Drosophila melanogaster: one gene and its partner. The protein of the gene in region 2 purifies or fractionates together with the protein of the main gene of each other region. This does not show direct contact. Each region holds a gene or a part of one and is shown on either strand. Other genes may lie near its edges.

The links.
Region 1: the proteins of dpr8 (region 2) and cDIP purify together in Drosophila melanogaster (affinity purification with western blotting; 2 studies listed by BioGRID). This does not show direct contact.

Annotation. Positions count from the first base shown.
Region 1 is NT_033777.3:21,158,655-21,162,960, forward strand, and holds cDIP (common Dpr-interacting protein), read right to left. Parts: upstream 2,439-4,306; 5' UTR 2,401-2,438; coding exon 736-2,400; 3' UTR 584-735; downstream 1-583.
Region 2 is NC_004354.4:14,320,252-14,325,332, reverse strand, and holds the start of dpr8 (defective proboscis extension response 8), read right to left. Parts: upstream 3,108-5,081; 5' UTR 2,418-3,107; intron 596-2,417; 5' UTR 475-595; intron 1-474.

The DNA of each region.
Region 1 (4,306 bases), on a different chromosome or scaffold from region 2:
CTGTTCGCATTAGCAGATGGCAATAAAATAACTCGGTTTCTGGTCCATTCGATCGAATTCAATATTGTTGTTTAGTTTCCGAAAATATTGGTTTTGTAATTGACTTGACTTTGTTCAATTCAACTCAAGTTCCCCGAGCCCCACCATCTTGTCTTCGCCCTCCAGTTTTCTTCTCGTTTTTCCATTTTGGTTCGCCAGCCCGAGTTGAACGAACCTCTTTCAATATCTTTCAGAAAAAGAACCCAACTTTGCTTTGCTCGAAAATCAATATTATTGTTTAAATATTATTCTACGTATACGACACAGCGAGCAATAAATATTTACTAGATGTGCTCATGTTGCAAATTGTATTGGTTTTTTGGGGTTGAGTATGCAAAATCAGCAGGGAAATGGAGCAGAAATTGTTTTCGAGATTAGGAATTGAATAGGCGTAGAAAAAAATGATATTCTAGGAAACTAAATCTTAAACAAAGACGAAAAGCCTTCCTGTTTTGTTAGATTATGGTTCCAACTTTGTATATTATCAAGAACTGGTAAAAAAAACATACACGCGAATTCTTTAGTGGAATTCTTCCAACAATTTAAAAAATGATTTATTTATTGGATCGAAAGATTTTATGTTTAAAATTAAGAAGCTTTAGGAAATACTTCAAATATTAATTATAATGTATACATATAATTGTAAAGCTTTGAAAATGTAGTGATCACATAAAAAATGGGCCATATTTAACAACTTCAAACGGACAAGGTCACTTGACTCCAAACAGTTTTGTTGAGCACTTCAAAGGCCTGAATTTGTTCATTCAATTGGGCCAGTTTACTGAATATCAAATCGAACTTGGAATCAAAGTGCTGCACCACTGCTTTCAGTTCATCGCGCAGTTTGTCCACCTCGCTGGGATCAGAACTACTTGTTATGGGCGAGGACTCTACGCTGGCGGAGATTTCCGAAGAGGAGGAGGAGTCCACACCCTCTTTTTCGGGCAAGCGATACATGCAGGCTATTCCGTGAAAGTATTCCCCCGGAAAATCGGGATCGTAGTTATCCACGGTATAGGCAATGCCATTGGCACGAATGAGCACATCCATTATGTTTCTCAGGCTGAAGCAGTTCCAGTTATTTCCATGAATATAGAAGTGCGTTAGTTGCGTGAGCGTGGGGAACGCGGATGGATCGATTTCCGTCAAATTATTGCCGGATATGTCAAGTTTCTGCAAATTTTGCATACCCTGCAACGCCTCCAGCGGCAGTTCCATCTGGCCCGTATTCCGCAGCACCAGCATCTCCAGATGTGGCGTCCGCCAACCGTCGGGCAACTGACCCAGGTTCGGATTGTCCGCCACATCCAGGTGCCGGAGTCTGGGCACGCGGCTCAACGACGCCAGCTGAACCAGCGAGTTGTTGCGCAGCACCAAATGCTCCAGTGCCTCGGAGGCGGGAAAGTACAGCTCGCGCACGCGATTGTCGCTCAGATCGACATTCGTCACCGATCCGTACAAATTGACACGGTCCAGCGAGCAATTGCGAGCGGTCAAATTGGTGGCGTTAATGTTCAGCAGTAGAACGACCAGCTCGGGGTTATTCGATAGATCCACATACTGCATCTGATGGTGTCGTCCGCGGGATCGAAAGGCATACTCGCCCACCTCTCGCAGTCGATTGTTCTGCATTGCGACCGACAAAAGGTCCGGATTGTGGGCAAATAAATCGCTCTCAATGGTGGTCAGTTGATTACCGGCCAGTCCCACGTGCCGCAGACTCTTCAGTCCGGCAAATACGTCCGCGGCTAAAGCCTCCAGGCGATTCTCTGTGAGATCCAGGTACTGTAATTTCAGGAGATTATCAAACGCACCCGCCTGCAGTTTGCCTAGTTTGTTGCGATTCAGGAAGATAAACTCCAAGTTTCCTGCTCCCCTGAAGGTTTTCGTGGGCAGCACTTCGATGTGATTATCGCTGAGCAGAAGAATCACCAGCTTATCCGCACCAATGGAGAAGTTCTCCCAGTAAATGAAGCGGATGCCACAGCCGCGCATGTCCAGCTCACTGACCTCTAGTGTGTAAAATAAGCGCAGGGGAAAATTGGTGAAGGTGCAGTTCTCGAAGATCAGGGTTCGCGAGTGCTCCTCATCGCCCACTTCGTAGGTGGTGCCATCCTCGGCAATCCGCACCTCCGTTGGCAGATCAAAGGTGGCCTTCTCGTCCTCTCCCGCAAACTCAAAGCCCCTGCAGCTGGTCACCTTGCCCTCCGTCTGGCAATGACCTTCCAAGCTGGAGACCAGCACTATTCGGGATGAGCCACTATCCACATCAGCATCCGCGTCCTCATCCGTAGTAGCTGTGGCCGCCAATGAGATCAGCAAATAGCTGCAGAGGAACGGCAGACAATTCCGGACGTACATTTGGCGTGCTCCACGATTCACGTTCGACCTGAAACTGATTCCAAACGTTGACCGCCAAACGCCTGGCCAGATAAGCTCCTCTATAATGCTCAAATAACGATCATCAGTTCTATATAATTGCCATCCCATTCTATTCATGGTGTTCTGATTTTGCGAAAATAAATATGGTTCATCTGTGGCGGGTACAGCGCATTTCGAAAATGTAAGGCAGGGTTTTTTTCTTTTTTTTGAAATCGGATTGAAATACTATTTCTATTTCGAAGAATTGAGATGCTTTGGAAATCACTGCTGACTAATTAATAGATTTAATTACAATTATTTGTCTGGGAACTCCTTTTAAAAGAAATTAACATCTTTTGCTGTACGAGAGAGATGAAAATCGGTTTGTTTTTTTTTGTACCTATCATTATTTTGACACTTGTCTGTGCTGCTTTTCCGTTTATTATTCATGATTTTTTGCTGCTCTATGGAAGTTCTCGCTCTGTTGGCTCCATTCAAAACTCACAGACTTTGAAAAAAAAAACAAAACTTTGTACAATATCTGTGGAGCAATTCCCACTCATTTCCAGTGTGTTCTCTTATCATGAAGTGTTTACTTAGCGATTTGCTGAACAAAAGGTGGAAATCTCTTTTGGCTGCTGATAGTGGACATGAGGCCAGACATTCGCCCATTTTTATGTAAGAGTATTTTCATTGGGGCCCATCCATCTTTGGCTTTTACCATCGAAAATATAGGCGCGTGGAAACGTTGCTTAAAATACCTTCTATATAATTTACACAACAGCCATTTAGCATTTTGTTGGCACTGCCTTGCGTTGTGTAGTTTTGCTGATGATTGCCCGAATGACTCATTATTTATCAGGCGAACAATTCAGTGGAGGGCATTTGAGTTTCGGTTTGATAAGAGCAAACGAACTTCCGTTAACTACTTTGTCGTCTGCATTTATTCCTAGTCTTATTTTTAAAGCAATCAGGCAAGAATGTAGGCACCTTTACACGAAAAACATTCGTAAATATAGCGAAACCAGAACTTTCGCCTGCGAAGCGGTGACATGTCCAGTGGAAAAATGTGTAAAATATTTAGCCAATTATTTAGCCAACATGCCAGCGGTTTTGAGAACACGTTCAACCTGCTTTCTCAGTCGTTCAATTTGCCAGTTGCAGCTTAGCGGGCGAAAACAAAAAGATTATGACAGGTAGAGCCTTATTAATTTGTATGCAAACAAATTTATACGCTTGTTGAAATGTTAAAAATTAATTTTCCATTCGTTTGCGTTGGGATTTTCTCGGCTTTGGCCGCCTGGGCAAACAAACAATTTGAATATCGATGGCTAATTTTTTTCACTTTATGTATTCACAATTGATCTGCCTGTTTGCATTGGGCTTATTATGAGCCAATGGCTTTTAAATTACTCGACTCAAGACGACTTTTGTTCTTTGCATGGCATTTGCCATAGCTGTATCTGTATCTATTGTAGCTGTGTATTGTATCTCAATTGAAACGGCATGACTTCGTTTAGCGTCTTTTTTTCACTTTTTCGCCTGTGCCCCCTTTGTTGAATTCAATTTGCCGCAATTACTTTGCATACAAGTTTCGAGAAATAAAAAAAAAAAAACAAAGAGTGAAAATTACCAGGCTTTTATTCTGTCGAGACTTTGTCCCCGCCGTCTGTACTTTATTCAAATCAAATTCGCCCAATAGTTTAGCAGTGTAAACAAATGCGATATAGAAATATATTAAATCAGAACATATAGCGCACCATTTTACGCCTCTATTGTGGGTGCTTTTATATGGCGCCGTCGGTTTATGGCACTTGATTTATTTCATTGGGTTTATTGGTCATTCGAACGCTAAATGCTCAGGATATCCAAAGGTTGTTCCACCCATCTGACTGCAATGATGACG
Region 2 (5,081 bases):
TACATGCGCTTCTCGATTGAAGTTCGAACTTTAAGAGTTAACATGTGCAATTTCGAAACCCTCTATTAAAAATTCTGTTTACTATTCCCTTTCTAGGAGTTCTAGCACACTCCGCATTCTATAGCTCTCTATGGCACTGAGGATTTCCTGTTTATGCCCACACAGTAAAAAAAAATATATATATATATTTCAATACAATTTAGCAAGCATATACAAGCCATAATAATTGCCACTTCTTTTTAACTGATTTTTGCCCAACTTAAGCATCGCTAATATTCATTTTCAAGTAATGTTTTATATAAGCTTAACTTTTGTTTTAGCAACATAAGTTAGACATAAGTTATATAGATAGAAATCTTGCTGAAATCAATCTAGTTTTCGCTATGTGCACATTTTCGTGGCGTATCCAATAAAATGTGCGAAAAAGTTGATGCGCGGCTCGCGATTGCCATTTATTTTTATTGCCGCACTTACCTGCTACTTAGCGCCTGCCGCCTTCTTTTCGAGAGCACGTGGGCGTGCCCGCTCACTACGCGCGACACAGAAAACTTTTGAGTTTGAGTTTGAGTTTTGACTTTTGCTGGGTGCGTGGTGCCTGCTTTATGTATAAATATATATATGTACAATATATATATATATATATATTTACTCTAAGTGTGTGTGCGTGTGCGACTGGCACTTTAATCAGCAATGCCAGCTGCTTCTTTTGCCGATTTTCCAGCTTTTCCTGCGAGTGAAAAGTGGGCAGGTGTTGCTGCCGCTGCTTGGCCAGAAACCAGGAAAAAGGAAAATGTGAATGCGAATGCGAAAGGAAATTCGCACATAACACTTCCCAAAGGCCATAAAGTCGCGCATATTTATAAGCCTCGCCTGTCTCTCTCGATTTCCATCTAGGCGCTGCTTTATGCCACCTTTTTTATGACCCAGTCAGTAAATACACGCATACGTATATACGTATGTATATATATCATCCCAACTCACATGGATTGTATTGAGCCCCACCAAGCCATTTGCACTTCATGCGAAAAGCCCACTTCAATTGACATCTTGCAACCTTCGAATAGCCAAAAAGATCTTTTTCGGATCCGTCAGCTGCGTCACATTTGTTTCGCATTTGCCGTTTTATTGCGCAAAATTGAACGCGTACTTTATTGCCGACTGGATTTTTTTTCTTTTTGCATAAACACAATTTATGCATATACAATATACATGACTTGGAATACAAAATAAATTAAAAAAAAAAATGAAAAAAAACCGGGCCCAAAAAGACGTGACACAAAAAAAAAAAAAAAAGCAAAGGGAAATGTAGGGAGCAAAAGTTTTTAATTTGCTTAGACGCGACCAAAAGTCTGCTGCATAACAGCTTTACTCCTGGGAAAATCGAGCTATGTAGCTTTGGCCATAGCCTTCGCAGCTTTAACCAGATTAAATTATCGCATTTTTCTTTGTACACATCTATAAACATATATATTTTTATTTTGGCCCGCTGCTGTTGCTCCTGCCTCGCTGATTCGATTTTTGCTACCCAAAATGAAGAAAAGCAGCAAAAAAAAATATATATATATATATATATATAATATGTGTAGGCATAAAAAAATGAAAGCAAATCCGTAGGCAGGCGTGAAAAGTTCGAATAAATTGAGTAAAAGTTCGCAATTCGCCTTAAACATTTTTGCCTTCTTCGCTGGCGACGGCAACATGAAATTTTCTGCTCGCAGGTGTGGACTTTTTTTCGTCCTTTTCTTTTCAGGATCTGAAAATTTCTTGATACAAGTTTGCCACATTGGCAGCCCAAAAAAAAAAATATATGTAATATATGGAAGCATATTTATTAGTACAAGTTGGAGATCGCAGATCAAACTTTTTGCCACTTCTGGCGTTTTCTTTAAATTTTTCATTTTTCTTGCACTTCTGAGGACTTGAGAAGTTTTCGAACTTTGTAGCCCAATATATAGGCATATTTATGGTCCAAGAATTACGTACAAATAAGGCACATTCTCCAGAAATTAAAATTAAAGGTGAAGAGATTTTATATGTTAAAACACTTAAATAAAAATTTCTTTATAAGACTACGATGTTCTGTTTTGCCAGCGGCTTTTCAACACATGAAAGTTGTATAGTTAACAGTAATATTCTTCTAATACTCTGCTTCCGCTTCTTCAGCCAGCGGACTTTAAAAATTACGAAATTAGTTAAGTTAGGATTTTTAGTAAGTTTTTAGTTGTAATTGTAGTAAATTTCTTTTTGCCACATTTTTGGCGCTTTTTTGAGTGAATTTCCGTTTCAATTGGGCAGCAACAGCCTCGGGACTTTAAAAGGCTCATCCGCACACACAAACACGACAATACCAACGCACACCACCCGCACACGCACACACACACACACATCAGCAGTGCACACACACACAGGACACTTACGGCTTGAGTTATTGGGGCAGGCCCAAAAGTATGCTAAGCTTTTCGCTTTCGCTCTGCAGCTGCTGCCAACTGCAAACTGCAATCAACTGGATTTCACTTTTTCGCCAGCCGTCGTCTCACTTTTCATTGTTTACGTTTCACTTGTACGTCTCTCGCCTTCTTTGTTTTCGTGTTTTTCTTGTCAATTGAGGAAAACCCCAAAAAGAGAAACAACAACAATGCAATATAGATGGCACACTCTCACACACTCAACCGAAAAAAACAACAAACAACAGATGCAATTGGCGGCGGCACGCGTTTCCCGACGCGACGCGACGCGTTTTGAATTTCCCGGGGGTTAACGGGGGTTAATGTATTGGGCGGCGCGGTGAGGGGACAACGTTCCGTGTGGGGCGGGCGGGGGCGTGGGACGTGGGACGTTAGGCGGTTTAGGACGGGCCAGCCACAATTGCAATTTGATGATCGCGATCGCGACCGTTTCACCGCCTTTCCTGCAGCGTTTGAATTTCCCGAGATAAACAGTTTCGATGTCGGATGGAATTCAGTTGTCGAGGATTCGCTTTCGCATTCGAGTTCGAGTTGTGTGGCAAGACGATCCGAAACGAGACGAAACGAATCGAATCGAGAGTCGAGTCAAATGCAGTGAATATATCCGCCTTTAATCGCGCGGCACAAACCGTTGTGTTCGATAACCTAAACGAAACTGAACCGCCGAGCACTCGCGGCTCGAAACTCGGCCAAAGCTTCGTGTCGCCTCGTGTCGCGTCGTCAGTGTCTCGGCCCACGAGTTCCACACACACACACACACACGCGCGCGCGCCCACCTTTGGCAAAGCGCACACGAAGGATGCGTGTGGGTGAGGCCGTGTGTCCGCTGCTCCACTTCCGATTCCCGCTCCGCTTAACTGAAATCCACTTCGTGCGGCGCTTTTGGGCGATGCGCAGGCGCCATAGTGGCACTTGTGGAACGCGAGTGTGGACTGCATTCGCATGGGAGATGAGCAAAGGTTCGATAAATGCCGGGCCAGGGGTCGCCAGGGGTTAAACCACCCCAAAATAAATAAACACGTGTAATGTGGTTTTGCACTCGAAATTAACAAAAAAAAAAAAAAAATTGAAGGGGGGTTCTTTGAAAACAAGCACACCCACTTTATCAATGAAAAATACATATGCATATATGTATATGTAAATACTTACATATGTATGTATGTATGAAATATATATGCACCGCTCTGTTTGAATATTATTTGGATACAATGAACACAGCTACACTAATTCTTATTCATCATTCGCGTATTATCTTCCGTTATCCAAAGTAATTCATTCACAAACAGTTAGTTTTGCATGTTTCCTTCGATTTGCCCACTGATTCTTGCTGTCAACGAAAGCGATTTGAGACACATTTTTTACTTTGATCTCTCTCTTCTTTCAATTGCATCTCATTTCTTATTCTACAATACATACATACGGTTTCGGTGTGCTTTGTATGTTTGTACATACATATGGATGTGGTACTCATTTATTGAATATTTACTTAAATATAAAGATAAATAATCTATTATGGGTAAGTATTTAATAAATGAAAACAATTTTTCCTATTTCTTTTATATAATTTTAGATTTACAAATTGATAGGTTCGCCCACTTGTTATCGAAGGGGCGGGGCATCGCTGGCGGTGTCCGGTGTGGACTCTATTGGGCTACCTCAGCTCGTGTGGCGCCTCCGAGCGACAGTCGTGGCCGATAGGGCAGGCAGCGTTGCAATTGCAGCGGGCGGCACGAAGAGTCCTGCGTGTTGTCGGCAGACGCACGATGTGGCACAGACACAGGACGCAGGACACACGAGACGGACTGCTGACTGCTAACTGCTGCTCATGTTGCATGTTGCACGCTGCAAGTCCGCCTGCCGCTCCTACTGCCGCTCCTTACTGCTGGTTTTGATGGTGATGGTGATGCTGATGCCAGCGGACAAGTTCAAGGGAATTCCGCTCGCGCGACAAATAAATTACATACACACGCACCGCCAGCGAGTGCATGCAAATTAAGATGGCAGCCGCAGATCCTGCTTCCTGCACTCACACCCTCAACTTCAGCTTCAACTTCGCCATCTCGAGATACTCGAGTCATTTGAACTCGGCCAGTGTGTCACCCCGCCTGCGGATCCAATTGTGCCACCATTAACTTCCTTCCGCCGAGGGAAAAAGCGAATGAGCAATGATTATTACATATCAGCTGCATTTTCACAATATATGTACATGCATACAATATTCACGAATTTCTGAACTGCAGCTAAAAGTCCAGTCGTTTCTGATTCGATTATTAGCTCATTAAAATAAAATTATAATGACTGAATGGCTAAACAACCTAATTAACATTAAATTTGTTTCGAAATTATTGATTACGTATTCTATGCATGTATTACAGAAACATTCAATAGCGCAATTTTCAAAATTATTATTTCTGTATTGTGTATTTCTTGATTGAATTACTATCATAGAAGTCCTTCCTTCTAAGTCATTTTTCATTTAATTAAAATTTAAAGTGTATTCAATATATATTTTTCACACATTTCCTCGATTGATTACATATTCATGGCGTAGTTGTTTTTTTTTCCGGTGCATTCTGCTTTCAGGTTGTTTTCCCTGCGCGTTGCACTTTGCTGACT